Canis lupus familiaris: one gene and its partner. The protein of the gene in region 2 purifies or fractionates together with the protein of the main gene of each other region. This does not show direct contact. Links are inferred from orthologs where the notes say so. Each region holds a gene or a part of one and is shown on either strand. Other genes may lie near its edges.

Region 1 (15,668 bases), on a different chromosome or scaffold from region 2:
CCTCCAAGACTGGCAAGCACGGCCATGCCAAGGTTAGAACTTGACCTCTCCCGTCTTGCCTTCCCTGTACCGCCTGGGCCCCTGGGTCTCCTGGCAGCGAGGTGTCCCCAGCCCCCTCCCTTCCTTTAGGCTTGGTCACCCCACCCCACCCGGTGTGAGCCCTTAACTTCTCTGGTGCTCTGTTCAGCTGCTCCGTCCTTTCTCCTGGCTCTCACTTTCTCTCTCTTCTCCCTTGAGTCTTAGCTGCTGGGGTTTCTCCAGGCCGCATCCCGAAGGCAGCCTTCCCTGGAGGGCGCTAGCAGACCTCTGAGCTTCCGAATCACCTTGCTGCCCCACAGTCCGTGCCAGCTTTCCCCTTGGATCTGTGCGGCGTCAGGCTGCGTCTCTACCTGCCCCTCCCCTTGGCTCCCTGAGCCGCTCCCTCGCTTTCTTGGACTCTTAACATTCTTGCTAGTGCTTTCCAGGTCAGTTAAGGTTTTTCTCACTTCAAACTTGACCTGGTTCATCCTTGTTGAATATCTTACGGTTCTGTTCCCTAGTTGGTTTGTCTTGTTGGCTCATCTAGGTATTTGTCTGCGTTCTTTCCTATTGCATAGTCCTCCCTGAAGTCCTCCTCTTCTCAGCTCTTTTCCTCTCATTCCTTTTTGTTTGCCCAAGTTCTGCACCCTTCCTGTGGGTGTCCAGACACTCTGAAACCTCTTACTGGCCGCCTCCCGCTCCCCAGACTCACTGGTCAGTGTTCCCATGGCTCGGGGTAACTGGCCACTGCAAGCCTGCACCACTGTTGCCCTTGTCGGTCACCCTAGCCTCAGTGGGACTCTTCTGCCCTTGCTAGATGCCAGAGGCTTCCATGATTCTTCCTTGAGTCGATTGGTTCAGCTCCACCTCCTCTGGTTCTGCCCAAACCACCTAGTTTGACTTCCCTCACTGCTTATGGGCACCTTGAAGCTTTTGTCTTTCATCCTAGAGTTTGGTTGGGTGTCTCTTTCATGTGATGTATATGTATAGGTCCACCTGGTTGGTATTGACATCTTTACTGGCAAGAAATATGAAGATATCTGCCCGTCAACTCATAATATGGATGTCCCCAACATCAAGAGGAATGACTTCCAGGTACAGAGGCGGGTTAGCCTTTTAGTGGGGGTGGTGGTGGGGGAGGGGGCACAGGCTGACCAGAAGAGCTTGTGCTGAAAGAAGTAGAGAGATGGCGAGGAGTTTGGTGTGGTCAGTTGGCCGCTCTTTTGTCCCCTACACCCCTGGGCCCACCCTCAGCTCCCTTCTCTCTGCCCCCAGCTGATCGGCATCCAGGATGGGTATCTATCACTGCTCCAGGACAGCGGGGAGGTGCGAGAGGACCTTCGTCTGCCTGAGGGAGATCTCGGCAAGGAGATCGAGCAGAAGTATGACTGTGGAGAAGAGATCTTGGTACATACCCTCTTGCCCCCAGTGCACAGCCCTACTCCATGTCCCTGCCTCTGGCTCACTTCTGACTCTGCCCTTTGTGCCCTCAGATCACGGTGCTGTCCGCCATGACAGAGGAGGCAGCTGTTGCAATCAAGGCCATGGCAAAATAACTGGCTCCCAGGTGACTGACTGACACGCCCCCATCCCCATCAGAACCCTGTTTTAGCCCCTGACAGTTCCTGGCTGGCTTCTGGCTGCGGCCTGGGCCTCACCCTGTCCTGATGGCATCTTCTGGTCTCACTGATCTCTCTCCTCCCCAGGGTGGCGGTGGTGGCAGCAGCGATCCTCAGCCTGCAGAGGCCCCCTCCCCCAGCCTGGCCCAGCTCTGGCCCAGCTCTGGCCCGGCGCTTGGCTGGACTCCTCCTACACAATTTATTTGACGTTTTATTTTGGTTTCCCCCACACCCCCTCAATCTGTCGGGGAGCCCCTGCCCTTCATCCTGCTCTCTCGGCCAGGAGTGAGTGGTCCATGGCCTTGGTGAAGCTGCCCTCCTCTTCTCCCCTCGCACTACAGCCCTGGTCGGGGAGAAGGGGTGGGTGCTGCTTGTGGTTTAGTGGTTTTTTTTTTTTTTTTGGTTTTTTTTTTTTTTTTTTTTTTTTTTTTTTAATTCAGTCTGGAATCAGAAAGCTGTGGATTCTGGCGATTGGTCCTTGTGCCCTCCCCCTCATCCCTGCTCTGGTCCTTGTCCCCATGGCCCTGTACCCCAGCACCACCCCACAGACTGGGGACCAGCCCCCTCCCCTGCCTAAGTCTCTCCTTTATCTGGGGAGGGAAGAGGAGGAGAGGGGAGGGGACCTGCCCCCTCCTCAGGCATCTGGGAGGGCCCTGCCCCCATGGGCTTTACCCTTTCCTGTGGGCTCTCTCCCCGACACATTTGTTAAAATCAAACCTGAATAAAACTACAAGTTTAATATGAAGGCCCCAACTCAGTTGCTTCTTTGAATTAAATGGGTATTTGCTGACTAGAAAGTCAACTTAGAAATTACACATAAACAACTATGCCAAAGAGTTCCCTCTTACCCACCCACCCAGCTTCACCTGTTAGTTGCCTGTCACTCCTCACCCTCCACACAGCCCTGGCCCAGCCCGGGAGGGAGGTGATGCACACAGCAGCAGAGGGGCAGAGGCAGGTAAATTTTATTAGACTGGGACACCAAGTTCCCTCACCCACGTCAGGGGCTGTGGCTGAGGCTGAAGATAAAATCTGATGATCACTTGTGGTAGAATCGTGGATTCTGGCTGTGCTGGATGAAGGGGAGACGAGGGCCAGGCTGGCTGGTGGCTGCGAAGCCCGACTGGTGGCAGAAGTGGGGGGACTTCGTTGGTGTGTACCCTGCCCCTCAATCTACACCCGAACTCCCAGCCATCCCCACCCCAGGAGGAAATGGGAGAGGAGGGGTGGGCGCCGCCTCTCCTACACAATCTGGTTTTCCCCCTGGAAGGGTAGGGCCCCAGCCGGGTCCGACCCCTGGCCTTACCTTTCCTGCTGGCTGCATCTGCACCGGGAGCTGAGGAGAGGCGAGGAGCCCAGGGGCTGGATGCAGAGCCTGTGGGTGCATGGGGCGCAGGGAGGACTACGGAGAAGAGAGTCAGGGTCCGAGGCGGCCTGGGGCACCCCTGGGCCCAGCACTGCCCCTGCCCTGCCCAGGCTCTGTACTCACAGAGTCTGAGAAGCTGGTCTGCTGGTTAGCGTGCTCCATCTGCTTCTGTAAGGACAGGGCACCGCCAGGCTGGAGGAAGCCTACAAAGGGAAGGATGGGTGTGTGGAACGCGGAGGCGGGGAGGACGCTCAGCCCTGGGGCCCTGGCGGGGGCATCCTCACCTGTCTGGGTGGGCTGAAAGTGGCCGTGCACCGTGTAGGGCTGTGGCTGCGGCTGCGACAGGTACTGCACTGCTGGGAACGCCGAAGGTGCTGAGGGAGGCAGGAGGCACAGCCTGTCGAGCCTCCTTCGGGCCTGCCTGGGACCAGCGGCCTCTGGGTCTTGGAGGAAGCGCCCCCCTCCCAACCCACGGCTCACCTCTGAGCTGCTGACTGGGGCTATAGGCCGGCTGCGTGGGTCCGTAGTGAGGCGGGGGCTGCGCGGTCCCATAGGCACTGCCGGGGCTGCCTTGGAACTGGCCATGCTCCGGGGTCCCGGGGAAGGCAGCTGCAGAGCCCACATAGTGTCGCGTCTGAGGAAGGAAGAGGAGCGCTGGCTGCTGCTGGAAACTCCTCCAAAGCAGAACCCCAAGCGCCTTGTATGTGCCCAATTTTCCACCATTTGGTCAAGTGCTGGACAACATTGGTGACTTGAATACTTGTTTAATGCGGGTGCCCGTGTCTGCATGGAAATGGCGGGCTACACACCCAATGCTACTCCTTACTGTAAGCACTTGGGGTCCGAACATCTGTTTGGCCCTGTCAGCCGCCATGAGGGTGCCTGGGCGGTTGTGTCCTCCAGGGCTCCCTAGACAGGGAGACGGGCTTCATGAGGCTGCAGTGGGGTGGCTGCAACCCCCGGGAGGGTGCATTCTAACAAGCGGGTTCTTCATTCCTCACCCTGCATGCTGAGGAGGTGAGTCCCAGTGTGGACGGTCAGGCTCTGCTGGTACGCAGCTGAAGTCAAAGTGGTCAGGTCACTGCAGTGAAAGGCAGGCAGGTCAAAACCAAGAATGAAGACAAGTGCCCCCTCTTTTGCCATCAGACACCCATCTGGTGTTACCCATCCCAGTTACTGTCTCAATTTTATTTTTAGCTCTCCAATCCCACCTCTGCTCCTTTCGCCTCCGTTTCTCTTCTTCATGTAAAACTTTCTTGAGCTGCAGGAAGAGCTGGTGCTTCTCTTCCTGAAGGGCCAACAGCTTCTCCTGCAACTTCAGGATCTGAGAAGGCAGGGGAGAGGAGCTGACGGCAGGAGAGCCAAAGGAGGAAAAAGCTGGGACAGAGCAGGGGGCTGCTTACTTGTTCCTTGGTCTCCTCTAGTGACATTCTCTCCTCCATCTCCTTTTTCTTCCTCCTCTCTTGCTCTTCCTTCATCTTCTGTTCCATCATCTTGTCTACCTCTTCTTCCTCTGGAGAAAGAACCAGGTGCAATGGGAAGAACGCAGGGTGGTTAAAACACTAGGACGTTAGAGATGGAGAAGCGGGGAAACCTGCCGGTGCCAGTGCTCCCTCTGCTCCTCTCCTCCCAGGGGACTGGGAGGGAGGGTATGTCAGGTGCTCTCCAAGGTCCTTCCCGGCCCGAGTCTTCTGGAGCCCGGACCCGGCCTGCAGCTCCCTCCACCAGTGGCGGGCCGTCCCACCCTCCTCCCGCGCGGCCGCGGCGCGGCGCTGTGCCCATGGTGCGGGGCTTGGGGGTCCTCCCCCTCGGCCGGGCTCACCCTGCCGCTTGCGCTCCCGCTCCATCATGATGTGCCGGTGCAACGCCCGGGCCATGGCGTTGGAAAGCTTGGGGCGCTCCAGGAGCGCGGGCATGGTGCCACGGGGGACGCTCGGGCCGTGGGCGCCCGGCTCTGTCACGGACTGCCAGACCTTGGGCCGGGCCTGCCGAGAAGCGGGCGCTTAGGAGGGTCGCGCCCGCGGGCCGAGGCGGAAGCCCGCCTGCCGCCGCCGCCCCGGTCACGTGCCCGGCGCCCACCCTCCGCCGCCCGGCCGGTCCCGGGTGCTCCGGGTGCCCCTGTGCTCCGCGTGCGCCGGCGGGCTGGGGTCTCCGGCCTCGGCGCCGCCCGCCCCTCCCTACCCGCCTTCGCTGCGCTTTCTCCGCGGCTCCTGTGCGCCTCGGCCGCGCGTCACATCCGGCTGCCGGGCCGAGTCCTTCCGGAGCCGGGGCGGCCGGCGGCCTCGCGGGACGGGCGCAGGGAAGGGCGGAAGCGGCTGCGACGGGTGCCGCGGGGGGCCAAACTCCGTCGGCGCGCCGGGCGCCCCCAGCTGGGCAGCCCTGGGGCTCGTCGGGGGGCGGTGCGAGAGGGGGATGAATGAGAAAGAGGCCGAGGCGCGCGCTCTGGGACAGCGTTTATTGGCTCCTTGGAAACCCGCGTCCGTAACAACTGTACAGAGGCCCACCTTCCCCGCGCCCGCCCCCACTCCGCCCGGCGGCCCGGGGAGGCTCCTCGGGATTCACAGTAACAGGAACGAAAACGGAAATAAATTAAGTGATCCGGGGGAGGGAGTCCAGGGAGTCGTGTTCCCCGAGTCAGTGCATGAGGGGAGACTGCCGGCCCCGAGTGGGAGGCGTGGGCCCTGCACGCGGAGATGCGTTCCTGCTCCAGAGATGCGTCGGGCTCTGGGGGCTCCGGGGGCTCGGGGAGCACCCGCCGCGGCAGGGGATGCTAAGCCAGGGCCGGGGGGGCCCCACTGTGCTTGTCGTCCAGAGGCCAGCCCTCACTCCACCCGCACCAGCAGGGCATAGAGGAGTGTGGCCCCCTTCTCCTTGGTTATCCACTCGAGTTCTGCGGGGCTGAAGTGAGGGTCGGGAGGTTCTCGGAGGGTGGCCGAAGGGGGTCCGGGGGTGTAGGAGCCCGGGCGCACGCACACCTGGAACGCCACCTGGGCCTGGTGCGTTCGCTGGGACTTGGGATCCCGGAATCTGCAGGGCAAGAAGAAGGCCAGCCGTGAGGCCTCCAGGCTCCTCCCTCGGCTGCCTGCGGGGGGGGGGGGAGGGGGGGGGTCACTCCCACCTCCCAGAGAGAGGTGGCTTGGCTCTGGCCGCACCCCTGCTTGCTGGGGTCTCTCCAGGGCGCTCCCTGGCTTCCCTCTGCAGGCCTCTGCCCAAACCTAACCTTCGTCGCCATGTCTACCCTGACTACTGTGTGCCTGTACCTGTGCAAAGCACACCTGGGACCCACTGCGTCCCACTCTACTTTTATTTCCACAGTACTAGTCACCTTCAACAGTAAATGTGCTAGAGTGAGACAAGACCCAAGTGTCACAGCGGGGACACCAATGGGAAGCCATGGAGACCCCAGTCCCAGCCCCCATGTACTCACTGCACTTTGGACGCTAGGGTCTCGGCCCCAGCATACTGGAGGGAGGGGGACAGCAAGACGGAAGGGGGCTGCTCCTCCCGGGGTGGGGCGCAGTTCTCGCCAGGCTCCTCAAACCCCACCCCAGGCTTGCCTTTCAAGGGCCGGCAGCTCAGGATGGAGGCGGTGCCTGCGGGGAGAGCCAGTCAGGATGGAGGCGGTGCCTGCAGGGAGAGCCTCCTGGCCCAGGCCTGGCTTGCCCCTTCTCTGCCCCTGCCCCCGGACCTGCTCCCAGCTCTCCTCGGTCTAGCACCCTCCGGATGGCTGCCACGTTGCTCCCGTGATATGCCATGTGCCACTTCTTAGTCATCGTTCCAGCTTCCAGGCGGGGATTCACCCTAGGGTGTAGACCGGGCAGACTGGACAAAGATCCTCCCCTCGACCAGTAAAGGTTCTGTGGCTTCTTCCACGCACCCTCTTGGGAGCCTCCTTCGTCAAGGAAGAAAGAGCACGAAAGCAGACGCATGACCCTGCCCTGCGTGTACCTGAGATTGAACCTGCACCAGCCGAAGGGCAGCGCGTATTCCCGGGGGGGCTCCCCACGGCGCCTGTGGGCCTCGTCACCTCGAAGCTTCCGGCAAGACTCACAGTAGCACAGGCTCCGCTTGGGTGGAGGCATGAAATAGTCCTCTGTGAAAAAGTGAGGAGCAGTGTGGGCGCTACAGCTCCCGCCCTGGGCCTCCAGCACACAGACCCCTTCCTGCTGGTTCCCGGGGCTCTGAGCACAGCCCAGCAATGGTCCAAGGGGTGAGGCAGGCTCTGGATGACCGGGCACTCACCCAGACACTCACCAGGAAGCAACAGCAGTTCTTGGAAGCGGGAGCAGAGGGCGTGGTACTCGCAGCTCTTGAGAGGGCTGGCAGCTGGCAGGGGGCCCCAGCACACACTTTCCTTGATACCTGACAGGACAGAGGGGGGCACGGGTCACGGGAGTTGGGGCGACGGGGTGGGACAGGGCTGGGGAGAGGCCCGGCCCTGTGGGCTGGCTCACCATCCACCATGTCCGCTTTCTCCATGTCCCCTTGGGTTCCAGCACTCTTCCCACTGGCTGCCCCTGGTTCAGGACTCACGATTGTCACCTGCCGGAGAGAGTGTGATGAGTGTGACTGAGCCCCCAGGGCCTGCTAACTGGCTCCCAGATCACAGACTGCCCCACCCCAGGCCCTTGTTGCCGCTCACCTGCTCACACTGCCCATAGAGGTCCACAAGCGCATGGCAGGGCTGGGGGACATCTGATACCGCCACCCCCTGGTCCATCCCATTGACGTGGAGATGCAGGCCCCCAGAGCTGTCTAGCCGCAGCCCCAGGATGGTGCCTTCAGGACACGTGTCCAGATTTGGCCCAAACTTCTCACAAATCTAGGAAGAGAGACCTACTGTCTTCCCAAAGATCAGACTCCCACCGGCAGCAGCCAAGGCTGCCCACTGCCCACTGTAGTCCATATAGCCCTTCACCTACTTGGGACTGCCAATGCCAGGGCTTTGACACCATGCTCGCCCTCTGCCCAGGCTCCACCCCATCTCTCAAATACCTACAGTCTGCTTCCCTTTGTCCTCCCCTACAACATTCTCAATGGCAAGGATGCAGAAAGACACAGGACGCCCCAGAGTTCCGATGATGATGCTCCCGCTCTTGCTCCCCCAACCCCATAGTCTTTCCCTACAGTGCACCTTTATACCTGTGGCCTCACCACCACGGCTGGAGGCCCCACTTCAACCTGTGGGCCAGCCCTGCCCAACGCTGAGTCCTGGCCCTCTCCCCTCCCCCTGCTCCCTACCCACCTTGAGACCATTGTGGAAGATGCCCCGGCCCCGCAGCAGCCAGGCTGCCCGTTTGAGGGCGCAGGCAGAAGCAGGGAAGTTGAGCCTCTCAGGCGGGCAGGTGATGACTCCCAGGACCAGGGAAGATGTCCACTGCCGGTTCAGGAAGTCTATCCGCACCTGGAAGGGAAAGGCGGCCACTCCGGGATCATGGCCCTCTGGGAAGAGGCTCCCCACCCCAGCCAGGGATGGAGGCTGGCACCTCCCGGAGGGGAGCCCTGCAATGTCCCCCCTGCTGAGGCAGGGAGGGACTGCAAACAGCGGGTTCATTTATTTCCTTCCTGTAGCAGGAAGGCCTGCTCCACTGGAAAGCCCTCTCTGCACCCACACGTAGTACCAAGTGTCTTTCTTGGGACCCTGCCAGCCCATCCCCACTGCTTCCCTCACCAGCTACCAGGTGGGCCTTCCACACAGTCCACGCACAAACCCCACCACAGGGTATGAACGAATCACAGCCCATGAAGCTCATCCAAGGGGGCTGCCTCTACCTTGCCCTCAAATGGAAAGGTTTTCTCCAGGAGGGTTGGCCCTGGGTCACCCCACACAGGAAGAGCTGCAGCAGGTTAAGGAGCAAATGCCCACCTGGACTAGGAGCTGGGGCACCAGGGGCTGGTTGATGACAACGATGCCCTGGTTGTAGCTGGCTACGCGTGTGGCCGTACGGTTCCCGTTGGACAAAAGGATATTCTTCCCATGGTTCTCCAGGAACTCCAGTGACGTCGACATCATGGCCACTTGACTCTGACCCTGGCATGGAGCAGAGATGGGCTGCTGGGGTTGTCCATGCGAGGCCCAGCTGCCTCGCCCCACCCTCCGCCTGGCGTTGACACAGAGCTTGCGTCTACGCCTCTGCGACCTGGGGCAGGATCAGAGAACCCCGGAACACCCCGGTGTCCGACGGCCCACTGAGTGGCCATCCACATGCCCTGTGTGCCCCACACAGCCTCTCACTCTCAAGCTGTGCTCCTCCCCATCGTCATCTTCCTCGGCCTCGCTGCCCGTGTCCGAGCTGGGAGATGGAGGCTGGGTGCCCTCGGGCTCCTCCAGCCTTGTGGAGCTGACCACAGACACACTCCGTACCGGCCCGTAGAGATCCAGCACGGCCCACACATTCTGGGGGCAGGAGGTAGATGCAGGAGTTAGACACCCGCAGGGGGCCTCCAGCCTGCACCCCCAAACCCAAGAAACGTCTCAGACCCACCTTGGCAATGCCGGTAGCTGCGGGCCCCATGTCCTCTCCATCCACCAGGATGTGCATCGTGTCATCTGCGCCCCGACGAATGCCCACGCGGCTCCCCACCTAGGATCGAGGTGACACAAGCACAGATGCTCAGCCCCCCACCCCCTCACCCATGTGCCCACCTCCACCCCGTCCCTGGAGCCAACAGTGTCACCCCCAGCCTCTCCAGGCTCCGGCCGTAGTTCATCCTCTGGAGCTGCCCGTCACGCCTCACTTCACAGCTGGACACCATCCAGGTGGTCTTTGTCCGGAGCTCCGGGAGGGAGGGAGGCAGCCCTGGGCCCCCACCTGCGCCAGGCCCCATCTCCCCGGGCGCTAGTGTGGTCAGCCCCAGCCGGAGGGAGCCCGCCCACTTCTCATCCAGTTCCTCTACTTTCACCTGAGGGGGTAAAAGAGAGGGAGAGAGAGCACAGCAGCCGGCACTAGCAGGAGCAGGAGGACAGGAAGCAGCCTGGCCCTGCCACAAGGGCCCCCCCGCGCACCTCAAATACTTCCTCCGTCTTGAGTTCCTTGGTGCTGAAGACCAGGCCATGCGCATAGCCCACCGCACGTACCGCCCTTGTGCCATCCTCCTCCAGGGCCACATTCTTGCCGCAAGTACTGTGGAATCGGTGAGCCACGCCAGCCGCTGCGGAGAAAGGAAGGGGCAGGACTGGGGTCAAGGCTTTCAGGTGAACTGTGAAGCTGCCATTCAGGCCCCGACTGCCATTGCCGTGCGACCTCCGACCCTGGTCACCACAGCCAGCCCCAATCCCCAAGCACATGAGCAGCTTCCAGCACCCTGGCCCAACTCCAGCCTCTTCCTGATGGCTTCCTACCCCAGCTTATTCCCTCCCCTGGGTCTGTAGCTGAGGGGGCTGCCCTGTCCTTGAGCAGCTCCCCGTCCGCTGTCGCCGCATCCCTCCAGCCCCCGGCTTGCAAGCATAGCCCACTCGCCCTCCCCACGCGCTGAACCTGGGGAGTGCAAAGGGAAGGATTTCTCGGTGGCAGTGTTGCTGGTTGCCAAGCTGTTGTCCATGGGGCCGGTGGCATTGGTGATGGACACTTGGACACACTGGCCGTAAAGATCCACTACTGCGTACACCTCTGGATGGAGAAGGAGGGGATCAGAAGCCCGAGAGCCCGGGCTGAGCTGGCATGAGGGTGGCGGGCCAAAAGGCACAGAGCAGTCACCTTTACCCGGAGGCAAGCCTGAGCAGGCGGCGCCTTGGTCCTGGCCGTTGATGAAGTAGTGCAGGTCACCCTTGGCTGTTCGCATCATGCCGATGCGTGCACCCGTGCCCAGGGCGTCCAGGTCACACCCGTAGTTGTTGCGCATCGTGTTCCCGTCTTGCATGATGGCCGTGCCACTGGAGAGAGGACAGAAGGACCGCTGAGCCTCCCGCCTCTTCCCCACACAGGCCTCTGAGCAGTCTCTGATCGTCAGAACCTTCCAGTGCCTTGCATCAGGATCTTCATCTGGGGTCTGAGACCCAATCCTGTCTCCCATACCTCTGGGGACCACCCACAGAGAAAAGCGGGAGCTGCCATAAGAGGAGAAAAGGAAGCTGGGCCACCGTGGGGTGCGTGGTGACATGGGAGCACTTCCCAGAATGGAAAGAAAAGAGCGACCCGATCCCTTGGACCTGTCGTTGTCCAGGGCCACCGAAGGCCCCAAAGCTGGCTTCCCTCATCCTCACTAGCTCCACCTGACCCTGCCAGGCTGGCTGTCCCCACAGGCAGCCTAACCTCAGCATCCATGTGTCGTAGTCAATGTCTGTCATGGTGTTGGGGAATTCGAGGTCTTCCGGCCGAATGGCAGTCACTCCTAGGAGGTAGCAGCAGGGGGTCAGAACCAAGGCTCCAGCAACGGGCAGCCAGCACCATCCCCAGCACACAGAGTCTGTCACACACGTGCATGCACGCATGCAGAAATGCACAGGTGCCCCTTACCAGCCTCAATGGAGCCTGACCAGCGGTCCACCATCTTCTGAATAACGATTTCAAACAGCTCTCCGTCCCGCAGGGCCCTGCCAGAGACAGCGGCAATCAGGCCCCAGTTGGGTGGCCAAGGCTGGGCGGCGGGAGGCTGGGGCCGTGACAGCGCCAACACTGACCGGTTGGAGATGACGATGGCGTCATTGAACTCGCTGCGGCAGTTGTGCCGGAGTGCGGTGCGGCCCCCGTTGGTGATGACTGCATTACTGCCGTGCAGCTGATGGAAGCGCAGGTCAGAGCCCCCGGCCCCTGATGATGGGGAGCTGGGAGACACCTGGTTGTTCCCTTCAGAGAGGGGCTCAGGGGCCGGGGGCACCTCTGTGAGAGTGGTCATCACCCGTTAGGCTTCCAGTGGTCTCCGAGGCCCCCCAGCCACCCCCCAGCTCCTACCAGGCCTGGGCGGTAGCCACCCCAGGCCACCCCAGCACCCCCCAGCTCCTACCCATCCCAGCCCTCACCCACGTCATCCACAATGGTAGCTTGGGCTGCCTGGCCATAGAGGTCCACAACAGCGTAGACGCCAGGGGGCACATTCCAGGCCGCAGGGCCCTGGGTCATCCCGTTGACGAAGAAGTGCAGGGTCCCGTCCTCCCGCCGCACCACGCCCACAGTGTCCCCTGCCTTGGAAGAAGGGGGGCTGGAGTGAGGAGTCAGGCAGAGTTCCCGCCTGGGCTAGTCCTATAGCAGCCCCGATGGGCCTGCCCCCCATCACCAGGCCTGGGCGGCACACCTGCTCCCCCACCTTGAGGCGGTCCAGATTGTGCCCATACTCGTCCAAAATGGTCGTTCCGTTGTGCATCACCCCATTCCCGGTCATCATCCAGGTCCCTAGGAGAACGAGGAAACACAGAGCACATAAGTGAGCCCCGGGCCCCCTGCCCTTCACAGCCCCCACGGCACTCCTCGCCCCCGTGGCAGGCCGCCGCAGCAAAACAAGAACAAGCCAGCTCCGTGGGGGCTGTGGGGGCAGCTTCCCCCTTAGGACCTGATCCTGGCCCCGCCCTCCTTGGGAGCTCACCAGAGCGCAAGTTGGTCATGGTGGAGGGCAACTGGAGGTAGGCAGGGTTGTGGGTGGTGACACCAATCTCAATGGAGCCAGCCCACTTGTCCACCATCTTGTCGATGCGCACCTGAAACACCTCTCCGTCCCGCAGGGCTCTGCTACTCAGCACCACGCCATGGTTGAAGTCATCTGTGGCACTGAGGGCACAGCGAATGCGTAACTGAGCACACCAAAGCTTAGCCCGCCAGTGCCCACCTCACACCTGTGGTGCTGAGCCACGTGGCTGAACTTCACTCTCCAGGAGGCACCCCCCCATACTATCAAGAACTCCCCAGGTCAGAAGCCACACACCCCCCCCCACGCCTGCCTCCTGCTTCTCCACCCCTCCTCCGATCCTGTTAGAGTCCCTGCAGCAGGCTTCTCCCCACACCATGGGCCATACTGGGGCCTCAGGGCAGTGCGTCCCTCGTGGGTGATAGCTGCCTTCTGCCCGCAGTTAGGGTGGAAGAGCAGGCGCTCGGGCTCTGCCTGGGTGGCAGGAGTGGCGCGACGCAGGGCGCCCTCGGGGGACAGTGCCCGCAGGATGGCATTGTTTCGACGCAGCCGGTCGCTGTGGTTGTTATTGTGGACGATGGTCACCTTCACAGCCATCCCGTACAAGTCCACCACGCCGTACACCACTGGGGGTGTCAGTGGGGTAGCCACGCCTGCCGGGGAGAAGGCAGAGAGGGAAGGAATATGGGGAGACCAGCATCAGGGAGACACAGGACGGTGAGGTACAGACCCCTGCCCAACACCGAAAGCCCTAGCCCAATGGCCTGCCTCAGGTATCTCCTTACCCTGATCAATGCCATTGATAAAGAAGTGCAGGGCTGAGTTGGACTTCCTTGTGAGACCAATGTGGTCGCCCTCCTAGTCAGAGCAGAAAAACAAAGATCTGGAATCCGCCTCCAATCAGGCTCTGGCCCAGGCCGCAGGGGAACAGCCCCAAAGGCACCTGAGTCTTGAGCCCCTGAACCCTCCCTCACAGCAAGTCTGGCACAGGGTGAAGCCACCTCATACACAGCACCTTAGCCACCTCTCCAAGCAATTCATGAGCTCATCTCAGGCGTGGAGAAGAAAAGAAAAAAAGAAACCCATACCAAACATAGTGAGCAAGCTTCTTGACTGTAGTCATGACCCCACACGACCCCTCAGAAAAAAAGAAAACCTCTGGCTCTGAAATCTGAGTGCCTAACTACCAGGCAACCGTGCCTTCTCAGAAGGAACCTCTCGGAGAAAGATCAGAAGCCTTGTTCCAGGTCACAGCGGAGACTGGGGTGCCCGGGCAGGGGTGCTGGGTAACAAGGCTGCCCCAGAGCGCGGCCCAGACTGCACGCCCACCCCTTACCTGCAGCTCATCCAGGCTGAATTCACAGTACTCCCGGCGGGTGCCCTTGCCATTGGTCAGGATCCCACAGCCGCTCATCATGATGGTGCCTGTGGGAAGGCAGACGCCCGGCATCAGGCCAGGCCTTCCTTCACCATGGGAAGGTGTCCCCGCCCCGCCAGGGCTGGTACCTGACTGTAAATTGGTCATGGTGGCAGGGTACTCCAGGTTGTTGGGGTTGTGGGTGGTGACACCAATCTCAATGGAGCCCGACCACTTGTCTACGAGCTTGTCAATGCGGATCTTGGGGGGAGCGACAGCAGGAGGGAGAGGAGGGCATGTCAATGTGGAGAGAGGACCCTCGGCCCCACCCTTCCAATGTCAGGGATCGAGCCCCATTTTTGGTTCCCAGAGGGTGAGGTACCAGCCAGGGCCCAGGACCTCACACACCTCAAACATCTCATTGTCCCGGAGAGGGCGGTTGGTCATGACAACCCCGTTGTTGAATTCGTCCAGGGGCCGGCGGCGCTCAGCTGTCTTATTGTTGTTGCTGAGTTTGATGAGAGTCCCACACTTCTCGTGAAAGAGCAGGGCGTCGTTGGAGGTGAGGATGGGCGAGGTGGCAGCCCCGCCAGACCCCAGTCCTTCCCCTGCCGGTGGGGAGCTCAGGTTCACATTTAGGAGCCCCCCGTTGTAGGCAGAAAGGATGGCGTTGCCCACCACCTCAGAGAGCTCCATGCTGGCAAAGTCTAGGCGGCAGGACAGGGGAGGGAAGCCGGAATGAGGCTCTACACGTTCAGGCCCTCCACTCTCCCCCTAATCCTCTCCTGAGGGCCCCCTCCCCTCACCTTCCGCCTCACTTCCCATTCCCCTTCCCAAAGCCTCCAGGGTGCCCTCACCATTATGCGACTCAAGGCTGTTAGGAAACGTCTCCGGCCGGGGCTGCGCTGGGGACACCATGAAGGCTGGGGACCAGGCGGGGTGGGAGGGGAATGAGGGTCCAGCCCCTGCTGCGGGGCCCACAACCAGGACACCCCTCCTGTAGCCCCTGCTTCCCCTTCAGCAGACTGGGGTCTGAGTGGCCCTACCCGAACCCAGACTCCATGGTCACTAGTCACCCATGCCTTCTGCCACTCCCCCTGCCCCGCCTCTTCCCCTCGGCCCTGGCTGGGTTCTCACCTTCATCCCCAGAGGTCGCCTGTTCAGTCAAGGTGGAATCTTCAGGGGGTGCAGAGGGCTCGAGGGGAGGTGTGGGGATGGGAGCAGGGGGGCTGAAACCTGGCTCGGGGGGCAGCACGGTGATCTGGGTGCACTTGCCGTAAAGGTCCACCACGGCCCAGACCCGGGCGGGGAGGCCCGTGGCGGCAACACCACAGTCCCGCCCATTCACCCAGAGCCGCAGCTCCCCAGCAACTGTGCGCTCCACGCCCACACGGTCCCCTTCACCAAGCTGGTCCAGGTCCTGACCATACTCCTCCAGCACAGAGCGTCCATCCCTCAACACCGAGCAGCCTGACACTACCCATGAGCCCCCCTTCAGCCCTGTGGCGCTGCTTGGGAAGTCCAGAACACTGGGGTCTAGGGCCGTCACCCCAATCTCAATGGAGCCACTCCAGGAGTTGACCTGTGATAAGGGTGGTGGACAGAGGCTCAGGATGGGCTACCGTGGGTCCCCAACCACTAGGAAACCACATTTCACAAACCACGTGTCCCCCTCTCTCCACACCCCTAACAGCTAACTGGCTTTTCTCTATTGAGACCCAAGACACGACTCTAGAGAGGTGGTCCTGTG
Region 2 (15,768 bases):
TTTGCAAGTCAAGACTGAGTCTCTTCGGGGGCCAGAAAACAGCAAGGGGCACCTGGGGGGGGGGGCTCAGTGGGTGAGGCGTCTGCCTTCGGCTCAGGTCACGATCTCAGGGTCCTGGGATCTGGTTCCACGTCAGGCTCCCTGCTCAGTGGGGAATCTGCTTCTCCCTCTGTAGTTCCCTGCCATTCCCCCTGCTTGCACTCCCTCTCTTCTCTCTCTGTCTCTCTCTCTCTCTCTCTGTGTGTCAAATGAATAAATAAAATCTTTAAAAAGAAGGAGGGGGCAGAGACGTGCTTGGGGGACTGGTCTGCAGATCTCTCTGCCTGAGGTCTGTCCCTCGTACCCAGGGAGAGGTGGTGCTGAGAAAGAGCCTCGAGGTCACCATGGGCCCTCACCACCCCCTCCTTGTCCTCTGCCTCTGTTCTCCACTGGCCATTCTCACTGTGACACATGCTTCCTCCCCAGCAGTGCTGAGTAAAGGCTGGTCCTGTGACAAATGGAGGATATGGCTGCCATTCCCTGGGACAGCAGCCTAGTGCCAGGTGGTGCTGCCTGCTGGTGACAGAAGTACCTATCATTCTTCTTGGCCAGTCTGCTGGCCTCGTCATCCCCATCACACCAGTTTCTCTCTGTTGACAGATTTTATCAGTCACAAAACCAAACAGCTATAGAGAATCCATAAAAACTATCAGACCAGACAGCAATTTCTTGAGTTCACTGAAAAATGTCTCCTTCCGTCCCTACCCTCCCTGCTTGTCCCAGGCCCCCTCTCAACGCCCCGCAGAGAGGCCCACAGACTATCTGCAACAGGCCTTCTTCCAAATGCAGGGGCTGGGCCGGGCTCCGCTTTGGGGGGCAATGATAGAGCTGGCCCCTCGGAGCCTGCCTTTCACCTCCGCTGCCCCCGCCTGCCCCCTGCCCCCCCATAATGGTGCCTGGGGCTGCTCATAGGAGCAGGTTGTCACTGCTGGCTAGCCCTCCTAATCACTTCCTAATGCTATCAAGGCTTTAGGCAAGCATTGATTCCATGATTACAGTGTGCAAGCTGTGGAAGGAAGGGAAAGAGAATTAGAAAAAGAAAGCATGCTGTGTGCCTTCTGGTAGCCCACTGAGGAGGCCACAGGGTGGAGAAGCATGGACAGGGAGGAAGACTCCACAGGCAGAGGGAGCAGCTCTGCCCACACTAGGCCCCGGAGGGCTCACAGCACATTCTGGTTGCTGGCATGGCACTTGGGGACGCTCTCTCACATGGCTGTTCCCAAACTGGGGCCCTGGGGCCGTCAGGGAGCCACAGGGAGCATTGAGGTAAATGGAGTCAGGGAAGCATCACTGAGGACTGGCAAGATGAATATGGGTGTTCCTGGGAAGTGAACGGCACAATTCACGTAAGCTAGCTTGTGACCATTTCACACCCTGGACCCCTAGGGAAACAGTCACTGTCATCGGAGCATAGACCTCTCAGTAGCACAAACACAGGCACCAGCTGCCTCCGTCCCTCTATTCATGTGAAGAAATGAAAGAAGTGCCCTCTGGGGCTTGGACCAGCCTTGCCTCTGAGTTTGTTCTCAGGAATAATCGCAGCCTGGCCAGAGCACAGGAAAGCCAGGAATGACCAGAGGCCAAAGGGCCCACCAGCTCCCAAAGCCAGGATGGGGATGGAGGCATGGCTGCTGGGGTGGCTGTGGGGCTGCGCGAGCCTGAGACACTCACAGCAAGCATGGCCTCTGTAAACAGTTGGGGTGTCAGGAGAGCAATCCTCCTGCTGCAGGAGGATGCTTTGTCCTTGCCATGGGCCACCCCTCAGAGCCGAGACTTTAATGCCCTGCAGGTACCCCCCTGCCCCAGGGCCAGAGTCCCCAGCCAGGGTCAGGAAGGCAGCTCGCCCACCTCCCTGCCATTGACTTCTTACTCTCCGCTTACATCATCATAGGGACTCCACTAGGAAGGTGGCGGTGTAGTTTTAATCAGGTATTTGTTTACTGGGTTCCACTTACCATGTAGTGTAAGGTTTTCTGTTTAGGACAGGAAGAGCAATTGTCCCACTTCTCTAACTCTGTAGGAGTGCAGCCATGTGTTGCTGGAGCGGAAAGATGTCATCCCGGTGGCTAACAGAAAATGTTTTTTCTGCTAATGGACACTCCTTTTGATGAAGGCTTTGCATCAGCAGCAATCCCCACTTAATGGTTGCAATGACCTGAATGACTGTGTCCCCCGAAATTTCAACACTGAAATCCCAGTCCCTGAAGTGATGATACTAGGAGCTGGGACTTTTAGGTCAGAAGGGTGGAGCCCTCGTGAAGGAGATTTTTTTTTCCATGAGGGGGATTAGTGCCCTTTTGAACGAGACCCCACAGAGCCCCCTCACCCCCTTCCACCAGGTGAGGACTCCACGAAAGACAGGCATCTATTAACTAGAGAGCAGGCTCTCACCAGACACCGAAACTACTAGCCCTTTCATCTTGGCCTTCTCGCCTCCAGTCCTGTGAAAACTAAATTTCCATTGTTTACTGTGGTGCTCTGTGAGAGGAGCCCACATGGACGCAAACACTGTGCTTGTCAGGGTTTTTTCTTGTTTTGATTCAGTACATTGTTTCTATGAAAACTGTGTATACACAGTGTTACTATATGTCTCACAAGGGGATAATGTATATTTTTTAACTGAACTATCCTTCATCTAGAGTGTGATATTGGTTTCAGGTGTACAACACAGTGATTGGACAATTCTGTGCATTACTCAATGCTCACCACGAGTTACCGCACAAAGTGACCACACACATTATTGACGATATTCCCTCTGCTGTACTTTTCATCCCCGTGACATTCACGACTGGCAGTTTGTACCCCTTCCTATCCTTCACCTGTTTAATCGCCCACCCCTCCACCCCTTTCCCTCTGGCAACCACCAGTCTGTTCTCTATTTCTGAGTCTGTCTCTGTTTTGTTTTGTTGGTTGGTTCATTCTCCTAAATTCCACATATGAGCAAAATCATATTATTTGTCTTTCTCTGTCTGACTCACTGACCCTCTAGGTCTATCCGTGGTGTTGCAAATCACAGGATTTCCTTCTTTTTTTATGACTGAGCAGTAGTGGTCTGTTTCTTCACGCTGTTAGTTCTATCTACATGGCAGGCGCCAAAGGGAGTCTGTTGGCAAGATCCTCCCTCCACACTTGGCCTGGATGCCTTTAGGACATGGTCAGCTGCCTTAGAGTGCAGAGGACACTGGCTCTGGCTCCGGTTTTGTGCCCAAGATCTGCCATCTGAACCCACCAGGAGTAAAGCAGCTGTGTGTGCACCCACGTGCAAGAAGAACACGTGGACCCTCATTGGAGAGTAGGGAATCAGTTAAGGAGAAGACAGAGGAGTCTGGGGTGACCTCTGGGGACATCTCACATTCTCAAACTGAGTAGCTGACCAAAAAGAGTGATAGGTTGAGGAAACAGGAACATAGACAAGCCACACTTGGAGGATCAAGCATGGAAGCATCTACAGAGCAACCAGAGGGACCCCTTTAAAATATCACCAGATCACAATGCTCTCTAATTAGAGCCCCCTTCTCCCTGGGATTCTATTATACCTGGAATAAAATGCAAAGTCCTTTCCTGACTTACAGGGTCCCCTGGGACCCAGCTTCCCTCCTCTCCCTCTCCCTGTTCTCCATCATCAGCCCATCATTAGACTGGCTCCCCCGCACCTCAGAGCCCCGACACATCTTGTTCCCTCCGCCCAAAGCACTTCTTCCTGGATCTTCCACAGCCATGCTCCCCACCCCATAGCCAGTCTCTGCTCCAGGTTTACCTGTCCAGAGAGACCTCTTCTGGCCTGTTAGGTGGAAACAAGCTCCCACATCCTGGAGCAGAAAGCAAAACCCTGGTGCCCCCACCCTCCCACACCAGGGACCCCACTAAGAGCCTTCTCTACATGGAGCCTGGGTCTCCCTGCTTTTCCCTCACCATCGTGGATGCACCTGCTTACCACACCCAGCTCATCTATTTCCAGAACCAAGAGACCTGTCTCTTCGGCCTGCACAGCCTGATTCAGGCAATGTGGGTTCTCCCCAAGTTGGCTAATATGTTGACCTCCCAGGGGTCCAGGGTCCCTAGGCTGGGGCCTGGCAGCCAGGGGAACTAAGCAACTGGTAACTAGGCAGTGATTAAATAGAGACCAGTTCCAGAGAAAGAAGAAAAAAAACAAAGATGCACTGGAGCCAAAAAAGAAGAAGACTGAACAGTAAGGCCGAGGGCTGAACGTCCCTGGATTTGGAGCCGCGGGAGCGGCTGGGAAGGAGCAGAAAGTCACCTGAAGGGGTCCTGAGGGAAAAACTAGAACAGAGGACGAGTTAGCGAAGAATAAACAAATGAAAGATGGGGGGAGCTGGGAGGCCTGCAATTCCTGGAGAAGGGGGAGACCCGGCTCCTGCAGGAGGGCAGACCCAGGGCGGACTGCGGGCGGGAGGGGCTGCAGGCGGCAGGGCCTGAAGGGTGCAGGGTTCCCGGCCCCCACTGTCCGTCAGTCGAACGTCAAGGGCGCACAGAGCCCGTGACCCACGCGCCCAGATGGCGGTGACAGGCCCGCGTCTGCACAGCTGGACGCCGACACCCCGACCTCGGCAGGTCCTGCCCGGAGGCGCCCCGAGGCTCCGCTTCGCTGATTGATCTCGCAAGAAACGGGGGCGCGCTGGCCTGCGGGGTCCTGGGCGGTCCTGCGTGGGGGCCCCCGGGGCGCACCGGGCAGCCTGGGGCCAGGGCGCGGGCCTGCGGGGAGGGGCGGGGGGGAGGCTCAGAGGCCCAGGAAGCCGTGGCCCGCACGCGGCGCTCGTTCCCGCCGGTGCCCCCGGTGCGCGCGCGCCTCGTTCACGGAGCGAGGGCCTGGGGTGCTGAGCCGCGTTCCCAGGCCGCGGCGCCCACTGCGACAGCACTAGGCAAACTCGCGGCGGGCCGCGCCGCGCTCCTCGGCTCAGCCTACCCGGAGCGCCGGGCCCCGCCCACTCCCCTAGGGCCGTTCCACCCTGCTTCCGCTTCCGGTCGCGGGGGTAGGCGGGGCCCGGAAGCGGCGGCGGTGGCGGTAGCGAGGGGAGCGCGGGGCCGGCGATGGCTGCGAACCTGAGCCGGAACGGGCCGGCGCTGCAGGAGGCCTACGTGAGGGTGGTCACCGAGAAGTCCCCGACTGACTGGTGGGCCCCGGGGGGGTTGGGGGGGCCCGGGGGCCGCAGGTGAGCCGCCGCACCGCGGTCCCGCCGTCCGCTGGGTGGGGGTGGGGGCCCCCGCCGCGCCCCGGCCCCGGCCCCGCCGCGCCCCGGCCGCGCTCCCCGCCGGGGGCCCCGCCCAGGACACCCCCGCACCGAGGGGCTCTGCGCAGCCCTCCGCGAGGGATGGAAGCCGCGCCGGGCCGCCCGGGAGCTCAGGGGTGTGCGTGGGGCTCCGGGTTTCCGGGCCTGTGGGCTTCAGTCTCCCTCCTTCCAGAACAGCCCTTCCGGCGTGAGCCCTGCGCGGCCGCCCCGTCCCCCGTATACCCCGGCGCCCTCCCGGGCGGTCGGTGTGCGGTGGCCCTGGGCGGCTGTGGGTCCTGCAGGCCCCGCTGGCTGCGCGGGGCCCTCCGCTGCGTTCCCGGTGGCCTTCAGTTTCGCTGACCAGTTGTGAGCATTTCCTAAGAAAGACGCTGAGTGTGATGACCAAGGGTGACCGGCTGTGAAGGAGCGTCTTCCCGGGGCAGGGGCAGGTCCCTCTCAGGGTGGCAGAGCCGCGGAGCCCTGCAGCCAGCACCGAGGCCTGGGGACACGCGCTCGCCGCAGCACCGGCTAGCTGGGTCTACGGACACAGGGGACCCCGGGGGGGCCTTCTGCGCGGTGTTGCCGGGGAGCCAGCAGCTCGTGGGGAACACGTTGGGAAGGGCTTCAGTGCCGCCTCCTTCCCACGATGCTGTAGGGAGTTCGCGCACACATCAGGCTCTCATTTTTCTATGAGTTTCCAAGTGTCACCACCCTCACCCCCGTCCTGCCTCTCCCATTCTCAGAGAACCCTGCTGTTCCTCCAAACCACCATACCGCCGCGCTGGGTGCCCCATTTCACATCCACGTGAGGCCACCTGACTTTGGAACCTGGGAGTGTTGTTTGTCCCTCTCCAGTCCCGCTCGCTTAGGGTGTTGCTGTTTCACGTCCCCTTTCTTGTCCAGCATAGCCATTGCTAACTTACCTGACGGAGTCCTAGGCCTCCTACTGCCTTCCTTCGGGAGTCTTCACTCTTAGGGACCATCACTGGTTTGGGGAGGAGGTCCCACAGCCCAGTGGGCAGTCCAGGCCTCCCACGTTTCTAGCTATTCCTTGGGCTGCGTCTCACAGCTATCTGCTGCCACCCTACCTTCCCTTTGTCCCCTCGCCCAGTCAGAGCCCCCCACCTCCATCTGACCAGCCAGCCTCCTGCAGCACTGCAGGTCATACACGCAGTGGCACAGACCCTGGCTTCCCTCATCATTATCACAGCCTTAAACATCCCAACAGAGAATGTGTGGCCTGTCCCCACTTATCCACTGAACAAGTATATAGACAGGTTACTGCTTGAATTTCAGTGGCTTCCTCTTTCACGTGGAATAAAGCTCAGACCTCTTGCCTGGGCTCCTAGGTGCTGTGTGGCCAGCTCCTGACCCCTCTGGCCACCCCTCCCACTTACCACACTGGGGCCACACCTGTTTGCCACCACCGTGGCCTTCTTTCTCTTCCTCAAACTTGTGAGCTGCTTCCTCCTCAGAGCCCTCTCACTCTTGCTGCTTCCCCATTCTAGAGCACCCTTCCACATCACCCTGGGGGTCTCCCCACACTGCCTTCTTGGAGAGGCCTTACTTGACTCCTGGCGCCCTGTGCGACTTTCCCTAGATACATGCCAGACGCTGCTCTCCTCGCCACAGGCTGGGCCCTCTCTGTCCCCAGCGCAAGGCTGCTGTGTGCCCTCAGGGCTCGCATGGACAGTGACCTAGAGGGGTACAGAACATGGGGCAGAGGATACCAGCAAGACAAGGTGGGCTCTGGCTTGGTGGGTGCAGAGCAGGTTATGCCGGTTGGGGGCCTGAAGCTAGGGAGGGTGGGGAACAAGCGCATATCAGCTCTGCATCACAGGTCTTTGCTTTGGTTCCCGAGGTTGTTCTAGACTGAGGCATGTGAGTTTACCTCCTGCACCTACTTTGCTGCCTGACAGGGTGTTAGTCTGGATGGGTTTCTTTTTTGTCTCCTGTTAGAAAGTAAGCTTCATGGTCCCGGCCTGTTGGGGTTTATTGGAAGCCTCATGCCAGGGACCAGCAAGCGGTAGGTTCTCAGTACGTGTTTTAGGAAGGGTTGCTTGCGTTACCAGGTGCTTGGTGCACCATGCTCCGTGTGCTGTGCCCAGGTGAGCACACCACTTGTCCACGGTGATTTGAAAGATGGACGGAAGTCTGTTGAATGTGGGAATGAACCTCTGAGCCAGTAGCATTCCAGAAAGTGGGTTAGGCTGGAGCCCAGAGTGGAGGGGAGTGAAGATAGAGGGCAGGCAGCAGGCATGGGCCCCTTGGAAGTAGGAAGTATCTCTGCTCCCTGCAGCTTGTCCAGCGTCCCCATCTTCTGCAGCCAGGGCTGGGTGGCTTCGAGATATACAGGCTTCTTTCCTCCAGCAGGAAGGCTGGCCAGGACTCCGGCCCCCAGAGTCTGGACGTCCAGCACCTCCCATATTTTTTCCCTGTTGGCGTGTTCCTTCTAGTGTGTGTCTCCTCCTCGGAGGCCTGTCCCCCTGCCAGGCAGACCGGCTAGGCCTGGGGCTCCTTTCTTCCCACTTTCTGACACTCGGAGCTCTGCCTGGTGGCCTTAGCAAGGCCTTGGGGATGCTGAGTGGAGGCTGATTTCATTCCTATCAGATTCTTTTTTTTTTAAGGTTTTATTTTTAAGTGATATCTACACCCAACATGGGGCATAAAGCCACAACCCGAGATCAAGCGTCGCACGCTCCACCAACAGAGCCAACCAGGCGTCCCGGTTCCTATCACGCTCTTTACCCCGTGGCCCCTGTCTGGCCGGCCTGGGCAGGCCTGTGCTCAGAGCATGGGGGGATGACCCGCTAGTCCAGGTTCTGCCTCTGACCTGCTGTCTGCTGGGTCAGCACCCCACCCCCTCCACCCTCCGTCTGCCAGCGCCACCTGGAGCTGAACTGCGGCTATTGATGGTTGGGTCCTGTGTGGACTGTGGATAAGCCACCTCTTCCAGAAAGTTTTCCATGGGTCACCTCTGTGCTGGTCAAGCAACTTTCCATGCCCTAGACGTAATAAAATTTGCTGTATTTCCTGAACACCTCGGGCCCGGTTCATAGGCATGAATCTTTCCCAGAGTTCTTAGGTGCAGCCCAGGGTCACCTGTGAAGACTTAAGGCTCCTCCAGAAAGAGTTTTCCCAACCATGAAGTCTGTCCCATGAGGAGACTGACTTCGTGCTGAGTCATGGCCCATATGGCTTCTGGGTTTTCCAGGAGAGTCCCAAGCCCAGAGAGACCTGCTGCACCAACTCCTCAGGCTTTCGGGAGGCAGAGCACACAGGCACCAGGCTGTGGTGTTGGGTGTGTGTTGGGCTGCCTTCCCAGATGTCCAGTGTGCGCACTCCCATTTCCTGCCTCACCTGCTGGGGTGCTTTGGTTCCGGAAGGCATGGGAATTCTCTGTCTTCTCCAGTTCTCGTACCTGGGAGGCCCGTGGGGTCTGGTGGGGCCCATGTGGCTGTCACGCTCAGCTCCTGGCAGGTGTGGCAAAGGCCACAGAGCTTGTTTGTTTTGTTTCAGGGCTCTCTTTACCTATGAGGGTAACAGCAATGACATCCGTGTGGCTGGCACAGGGGGTGAGTATGTCCCAGTGAAGGCGGCGGGGGGCGGGTTGTACGCATTGGTGCTCCCTGGCAGCCTTGGCCATCACAGCTAATGCAAGGAGACTGCAGGCACAGAGGTGTCCCAGCACGTGGCGAGGCTGCTAGGACCGCTCCCCACCACAGTGTCGGTGTTGGAGCTACATGCAGCTCTGTTACTCAGCGAGTGCTCACCAGTACCTCCTCCACTGGCTGCTCAGTGGTTCTGACTGGGCTAGAAAACCTGCCTCTCACTCCCTGCTGGTCATCTGCTTAGAAGGAGGTCTCAGGCCCCTGTGTTTCTTGCCAGCACCCCAGGGGTACTCACAGGGCTCTGCTGTGAGAGCCCAGGGTAGGGGCTCAGCACTGCCCCAAGCCCGTAGGGGCCCTCCAGCTACATTACTCGATCCAGCTCCTTATAGCCTGGGTGGGTTTGGGGGTGCTGATAAGAACAGCTGAAGAGGGCCCACTCCTGTGCGCCCATCACTCCCTTATCTTTACGTGGAGGGTCTGAGAGCTGAGCCTGAGCACAACTGCAGACTGGTCCCATCTGCTCAGGGCCCTTTGTGGGGTCCAGGCAGCAGGAAGATGGTTGCAGAGACCCTCTGTTTGGAAGCTTCATGCCCACTTTGTTGCATGACTGTCAACATTTGTTGCATTTTTGTTTCTGAAGCTGTCTGGGTTTTATACTAATGGTTTTTAGGTTGGCATGTGGAACATCTCACCTGAGGTGCTTGTTACAGACACAGATCCTGTGCAGCAACTTAGTGGGGGCAGGATGAGGAGTCTGATTCTGCAGGCAGCACTGAGCCCTGGTTCCGAGGCAGATTGGATTTCCTCTCCTGGGGGGCACTGTGCCAGGGCAGGCAGCAGGTGTGGGACCCTCTGACCCTCCCTGTGCCCACTGCAGAGGGGGGCCTGGAGGAGATGGTGGAGGAGCTCAACAGCGGGAAGGTGATGTACGCCTTCTGCAGGGTGAAGGACCCCAACTCTGGCCTGCCCAAGTTTGTCCTCATCAACTGGGTATGTGGAACCCGGGGGCCTCTGAGTTCTCATCCAGGCGTGACCCCGAAAAGCTCCCTTTCCTGCTTTCCTCCTTTGCCTTCCGTGGTGGGAGCGGAGGAGGACCTGTCTTTGGGGCAGCTCAGAGGTGGTGGATGAAGTCCTTGTGCCCCAGACGACAGCGGGAGCACTGCTAGCCCAGAACCACTCCCACAACCAGCAGTACAGTTCAGGACACCCACACATTTGTCCCCTTCAGGGGGTCGTCCTGAGGGAGCGAAGGGCCTGGGGAGACCAGGAGGTTCTGAGGCAACCCCCCACCCCCACCAGTGGAAGCTGGCAGTCATCCTGCACTCAAGAACCTCCTTGACTTGAAGGATGTGGGGCTTACCGTATGGTCTGCTGTAGGGTCACAGTTGTCCCTCTGCTGGGTCCCTAGGGAGGCAGGGCGGTGGGAAGTTGGCAGGTCACGCCGGGTGTGTCATGTTGCAGACAGGCGAAGGTGTGAACGATGTGCGGAAGGGAGCGTGCGCCAACCACGTCAGCACCATGGCCAGCTTTCTGAAGGTGAGGGCTGCACCCTGAAGGCCTCACACAGGTCTCCAGGCTCCTGCGATCTTGGGCGGGCGTGAGCGCGAATCACAGCCAGAACCGGAAGTGGGTCCCACTCCCCGATGCTCTCTTTGGACTTGAGGACATGAGCAGAGGCTGCTGCGCTCCTGCTTGGCCAGCACCCAGAGGGCCATGCTGTGGCCAGAGCGACCAGCAAGCTGGTGTTAGCAGCGGGGAGGAACAGGCGATTGTCCTTTTCAAGCACAGGGAAGGCCAATCTGGAGCGAGGTCTTGGGTTCCGTTGGTTTTGTGAGGGTTTATTCAGCCGTGTTGTCAGGATTTGGAGGAGCAGGAAGGGTGCAGGTGCCCAGCCCCCTCAGCGGGCACATTTCCCTGTACCCTGTTTGTAGCCAACCTACGTGTGTATTTACATCAGTCCTCGCAGCGGAACCTCGTTTAGTTCCAGAAGCCTTTGTTGTTTGCTTGTCAGATAACCTGCATTTCTTTGGTTACTGGCAGAAAGATCTAGGACTTTGATTTCTAGTCTGCTGACGCTTTTTCAGACATGCCTCAGTTTCTCCATCTGGGAGCTGAAAGAGGATCCCAAGCTGTTGGATGTTTACCAGCAGGGAGTGAGGTCATGGGTCTGACTTCTCAATAAGAAATTGGTGCCTGAAAAAAAAAAAAAGAAAAGAAAAGAAATTGGTGCCTGGGGCGCCCAGCTGGCTCCGTGTGAGGAGTGAGCGACTCTCGATCTCAGGGTCCTGAGTTCAAGTCCCAGGTTGAGTGTAGAGATTACTTGAATAAATAAGACAAAAAAAAAAAAAAAGGAAGAAGAAATAAGTGGTTTGCTCTTTGCAGAAATTGCATTTCCAGATCCTTTTTTAAGTTGGCTTTTCGTTAATTTGTTGATTTCGTTAATCAGGACTATTTCCTGCCTGGGCCTCCAGCAGCGAACACACAGCCCTGGGGAATCAGCTTGGGAAGGGGCAAGGTGCTGGGGTGAGAACAGGCTCTCTGCCTCAAGGTAGTTTGTCGGTCTTGTGGAGAGCGTGCCTAGGGCCCCAGCAGGGTCTCCTGACCTCGAACCCCAGGCAGCAGTTGTCTGCGCTCTGCAGACTTGGGGCTGCGTCCTGTCCTCTCCTGGAGCTGCAACACCTAGGTGCTGTCCTGCTGCAGGGGGCGCATGTAACCATCAACGCGAGGGCTGAGGAGGACGTGGAGCCTGAGTGCATCATGCAGAAAGTGGCCAGGGCCTCAGGAGCCAACTATGCCTTCCACAAGGAGAGTGGTCGTTTCCAGGACATAGGCCCTCAGGCCCCAGTGGTGAGTGCTGCCCAGGGCCAAGCGTGTCTTATCCCTCAAGGGCTTCCGGTCCTGGAGGCAGATCTAGGTGCAGATGGTGAGCCTAGGCCAGAGAGAAGCCGGAGCTGCCTCCTAGTAGGCAGGTGCTAGTGGGCGTGAGGAGCAGCCCTCTACCCTGCCTGCTGGTTCCACTGGCTATTCTGGAGCCTCTTACACCTGTTTTGTGTGGTCAGAGGCTCTGCAGGACAGTCCAGCCTGTCCTGAACGGCCCTGGATGGTGGGCACCATGGGGGAGCTTTAAGTGCTGGATGGTCAGGCCCCTTCCAGCTGTGGGTAGACACCAGACATCCTGGTTATGGGGAGCCCAGTTCCCCGAAGCAGCGCTGCAGTCTGTGGAGTCTCCCTGGACACTGGCACGGTGACCAGCTGTCTGAGGCTAGTGGACCAGCTCCTAGAAGCAGCCAGCCTCAGAACCTCCTTGGCTTCTATCCATTGGGGCCTAGTGCAGCCAAAAACCCCCTTGGCATTGCCCAGTGGTTCCTGGGGCCTTCAGGCCATCTTGGTGAAGAGGCCCCGGGCCAGGTGTCACTGCCACTGCTAGGCACGGTCCCCACAACTATTGTTCACGTTCTGTGCTCCCGCAGACGGTCCTGTAGCGGATCCTCTGTCGTCCACAGGGCTCTGTGTACCAGAAGACCAACGCCATCTCTGAGATCAAAAGGGTCGGCAAAGACAGCTTCTGGGCCAAAGCAGAGGTGAGTGCTGTGCGGGTGCGTCGAGCACAGCCAGCCCTCAAGGAGATCATGCGTGCCAGGTGTCAGGGTGTCTTCCTTGCCGTCCCTGTGTTTCTCATGATAAAGAACACGTGTCCTCATTAGTGGCTGCGCTTGAGCACGCTTCTGCACAGGCCACACTTGCATGGGGTGGGGGGGCAGGAAGGGAGGCTCGCCTGCTTGCTGTGCAACTGCTGAGTGGGGCAGGCGGGGTCGGCTCTCCCTGCAGAAGGAGGAGGAGAATCGCAGGCTGGAAGAGAAGCGGCGGGCAGAGGAGGAGCGGCAGCGACTGGAGCAGGAGCGCCGGGAACGGGAGCTGCGGGAGGCAGCCCTCCGGGAGCAGCGCTATCAAGAGGCACAGGCCAGTGAGGGACCCCAGAGGTGAGGCCCCAGAGGGAGGGCAGAGGGAGGGTCTCACATGGGCTGCAGCTGGGCTGCAGCACCTCCCTCTGCTCCCCCAGCAGGAGTGAGCAGCAGGAAGTGGCTTCAAGGAACATAGAGCAGGTGAGATGTGGGTGCTCCCACCCTGAGGGGTCCCTGATATGCCGGGGCCCCAGCCCAGCAGGCCTAGGGAGGGGGCCGCTGAGAAGGTCCTGCAGCCAGCTGGGACCTGTGGGTACACAGGAGGTGGCAGTGGAGAGTGAAGGGCAGAAGCGGCCAGTGTGGACGAGGCCCGTGAGCCCCTCCCACATATCCGGGACCCCTCACCGCTGGGTCCACATGCACTCCCCACAGGAGCCGGTCAGTCAGCCAGCACACCCGCGGGAGATCTTTAAGCAGAAGGAGAGGGCCATGTCCACCACTTCTATCTCCAGCCCCCAGCCAGGTGAGTCTTCCCTCTGCACCTCACCGTGAGGTGGGGGCAGGCCGAGCGAGAGCCTAGGATCCCAGTGTGGGGCCCCCAGAGGTAGTGACACGTCAGACAGGCAAGTGAGCAAGGAGAGCTTGCACTCCTTAGAGTGGCTTCTGGAGGGGAGCCTGGGCCTCAGGTGTCCCTTTCCTGCCCATAGCCTCATCCTGCAGAGACCTGGAAAGCAAGGGCCATGTGTGGCTTCAGAGGGGAGACCCTCCAGCCCGGCCCTATTAACCCGTGGTGCAGCACGCACAACGCAGGACCACACTGCTGCCCTCTCCCACGCTGTGCCCTGGGTGTCTGAGGTGTGCACGCCGCTGGCGCTTCAGCTGCTGTGTGCCCCCCCATCCTCCTGTGCGACAGCCATTGTCCCACTGCAGGATGCAGATCTTCTCCTCCTCCAGTGCAGGTGCATTTACCTTTGGTTTGCAGGGAAGCTGCGGAGCCCCTTCCTGCAGAAACAGCTCACCCAGCCAGAGACCCATCGCAGCCCGGAGCCCACCCAGGCCTCCTCCAGGCCCAGGGCAGGCAAGGCATTTGGCCGCCCCTGGGGGGCTGGGGATGGGAAGTGGGAGGGAGGAAGGGTGTGCGATCCCCTTCCCGGGCTCAGAGTGGGCTGCATCCTCCTGTGCAGATATCCATGAGGAGCCCGTGTCCAGCGGTCCGCCATGTGTGGTGCAGGCGGAAGAGGAGGCTGTGTACGAGGAGCCCCCGGAGCAGGAGACTCTCTATGAGGAGCCCCCAGTGGTGAGTTCCCCACAGCAGGGCCTGGCTGTGAAGGGGTCACGTACCCAGAAATGCTCTCTCAGCCACGCTAGTCACGGGATGCCTGACTTTTCAGTAGCTCCCTACATGCGGATTATCTCGTGTAACTTGGGGCAGTCCCTTGCAGTACTGTGGGAGGTCATGGGGGGTGGGCAGCAGCAGCCAGTGAGCCTGTAACTAGGACCCCAGATTTCCCTTCTCTCCTTCGGGGGGCAGGTGCTGCAGCAGGATGCCGGTTCTGAGCATGTGGACTCCTACCCGGGGCTGCGCGGGAAGGGGCTGTGTGCCCGGGCCCTGTACGACTACCAGGCAGGTAACGTGCTGCGGTCAAGGGACCGCTACACTGTCAAGGGACAGGCTTCAGAGGCTCCTTCAGGGCGATAGAAAGGGGAGGGGAGGATGGGGTGGACGGCCCGCACAGCCCAGGCCTCCCCCTGGTGCTCTGGGCAGCCACCCAGCATGTGTTGGCGTGAATCCCAGGTGCCAGCATTGTGCTAGAGCCTGCAAGTGCAAGTGACCAGAGAGGTGGGTGACCTGGACACGGGGCCCCCAGTGGTCCTGGGTGGAGCCTCAGGAAACAGGCTGCTCGTGTGGAAGTGGGGGGCCCCAGGGGTAGTGGCCGGCACCCGACCACCAGCCCCAGTGCAGACTCCCCTTCCCACAGCCGACGACACTGAGATCTCCTTTGACCCCGAGAACCTCATCACAGGCATCGAGGTGATCGATGAGGGCTGGTGGCGTGGCTACGGGCCAGATGGCCACTTTGGCATGTTTCCTGCCAACTACGTGGAGCTCATTGAGTGAGGACCCTCCACTGCTGGCTGCAGCAAGGCCGTCCTTCCTTTCCCCACCCAGATGTGCTTTCCTTACTTCTGGGAGAGGTGGCGTGCCCGGCACAAGAGCCACACCGTGCTCCTCCAGGAATGGGACCCCCCCCCCCCCCGCCGCCAAACAAGACAAGCCCTTGGGCTCCCTCAGACTTGGGTGCTCAGCCTCTTGTCACCCTAGATGCAGCAATATCCTGTGATTCCCACACTTGGTCTCGCAGCTCCCAGGCTCTCCCAGCCTGGCCTTTGACCCCACAGAGGACATGGAGCCACACCCTGCCCATGGCCAGCCCTTCCGTGGCCTCTGCCTGAGGGGGACAGCACTGCCACGCCGGGCGGTCTGCGCAGGGGTATTTGCCTTTTCCTTTTCCTGGCTCTAAAGGGTGCTGACTACAGCTGTTAGCGAGGCTCAGCTTCAGTGAACTGAGAGTTTAGGACCAAAGTCTCAGTGGGTCGTGACAGTTTGGGCAGCAGTAGGTGATCTTTCCGGACCCTGCCCTGTGCTCCCAGTTCTGTCCCCCTGCCTGCGTGGCAGACAGTGAGCAGTGCGGACAGGATAAATAACTAAGCCCCGATCTGTGCATAGGATCAGCAAACGTGTCCTTCCATGTGGCACGCCCTCTTCTACTGGCCCTGGTGTGTGCGCTCCCCTGACTCTGCCTCAGAAACCAGAGCAGCCTGTGCCTGCTGTCTCACCCTGTCTGTCCTGGCCCATTCATGTCTGCTTTTGGAGTGAGCACTGCCCTCTTGTGACCCGAATACCCCCGTGTAGAAACCAATCCCTTCCCGGGTGTCTGGGGTGTGTGTGTGTGTGCACGCTGCGCCCTCGGACCTGGGGCCCACCGT

What was found.
Region 1: the proteins of DBNL (region 2) and NEURL4 purify together in Homo sapiens (co-immunoprecipitation; 4 studies listed by BioGRID and IntAct, counting the BioPlex papers as one, with this or other methods). This does not show direct contact. The link is inferred for Canis lupus familiaris from reciprocal best matches to the Homo sapiens genes DBNL and NEURL4.

The regions. Positions count from the first base shown.
Region 1 is NC_049226.1:32,476,916-32,492,583, forward strand, and holds the end of NEURL4 (neuralized-like protein 4), read right to left. Parts: intron 15,501-15,668; coding exon 15,056-15,500; intron 14,842-15,055; coding exon 14,776-14,841; intron 14,626-14,775; coding exon 14,327-14,625; intron 14,180-14,326; coding exon 14,068-14,179; intron 13,987-14,067; coding exon 13,898-13,986; intron 13,420-13,897; coding exon 13,347-13,419; intron 13,215-13,346; coding exon 12,950-13,214; coding exon of another isoform or gene 12,875-12,949; intron 12,705-12,874; coding exon 12,523-12,704; intron 12,333-12,522; coding exon 12,247-12,332; coding exon of another isoform or gene 12,235-12,246; intron 12,126-12,234; coding exon 11,963-12,125; intron 11,823-11,962; coding exon 11,624-11,822; intron 11,537-11,623; coding exon 11,460-11,536; intron 11,335-11,459; coding exon 11,256-11,334; intron 10,877-11,255; coding exon 10,701-10,876; intron 10,614-10,700; coding exon 10,482-10,613; intron 10,156-10,481; coding exon 10,010-10,155; intron 9,907-10,009; coding exon 9,682-9,906; intron 9,588-9,681; coding exon 9,489-9,587; intron 9,401-9,488; coding exon 9,239-9,400; and 21 more. Other genes in the region: EIF5A (eukaryotic translation initiation factor 5A-1), read left to right, coding at 1-32, 1,009-1,113, 1,294-1,425, 1,512-1,574; GPS2 (G protein pathway suppressor 2), read right to left, coding at 2,677-2,760, 2,944-3,039, 3,127-3,206, 3,288-3,377, 3,484-3,637, 3,830-3,912, 4,005-4,084, 4,215-4,327 and 2 more. UniProt on the Homo sapiens protein: Promotes CCP110 ubiquitination and proteasome-dependent degradation. By counteracting accumulation of CP110, maintains normal centriolar homeostasis and preventing formation of ectopic microtubular organizing centers.
Region 2 is NC_049237.1:14,466,405-14,482,172, reverse strand, and holds the start of DBNL (drebrin-like protein), read left to right. Parts: upstream 1-5,016; 5' UTR 5,017-5,088; coding exon 5,089-5,171; intron 5,172-8,786; coding exon 8,787-8,842; intron 8,843-9,755; coding exon 9,756-9,868; intron 9,869-10,238; exon of another isoform or gene 10,239-10,339; coding exon 10,340-10,414; exon of another isoform or gene 10,415-11,578; coding exon 11,579-11,725; exon of another isoform or gene 11,726-12,381; coding exon 12,382-12,459; exon of another isoform or gene 12,460-12,706; coding exon 12,707-12,858; exon of another isoform or gene 12,859-12,894; intron 12,895-12,938; coding exon 12,939-12,981; intron 12,982-13,212; coding exon 13,213-13,303; intron 13,304-13,762; coding exon 13,763-13,858; intron 13,859-13,964; coding exon 13,965-14,077; intron 14,078-14,311; coding exon 14,312-14,408; intron 14,409-14,759; coding exon 14,760-14,899; 3' UTR 14,900-15,768. UniProt on the Homo sapiens protein: Adapter protein that binds F-actin and DNM1, and thereby plays a role in receptor-mediated endocytosis.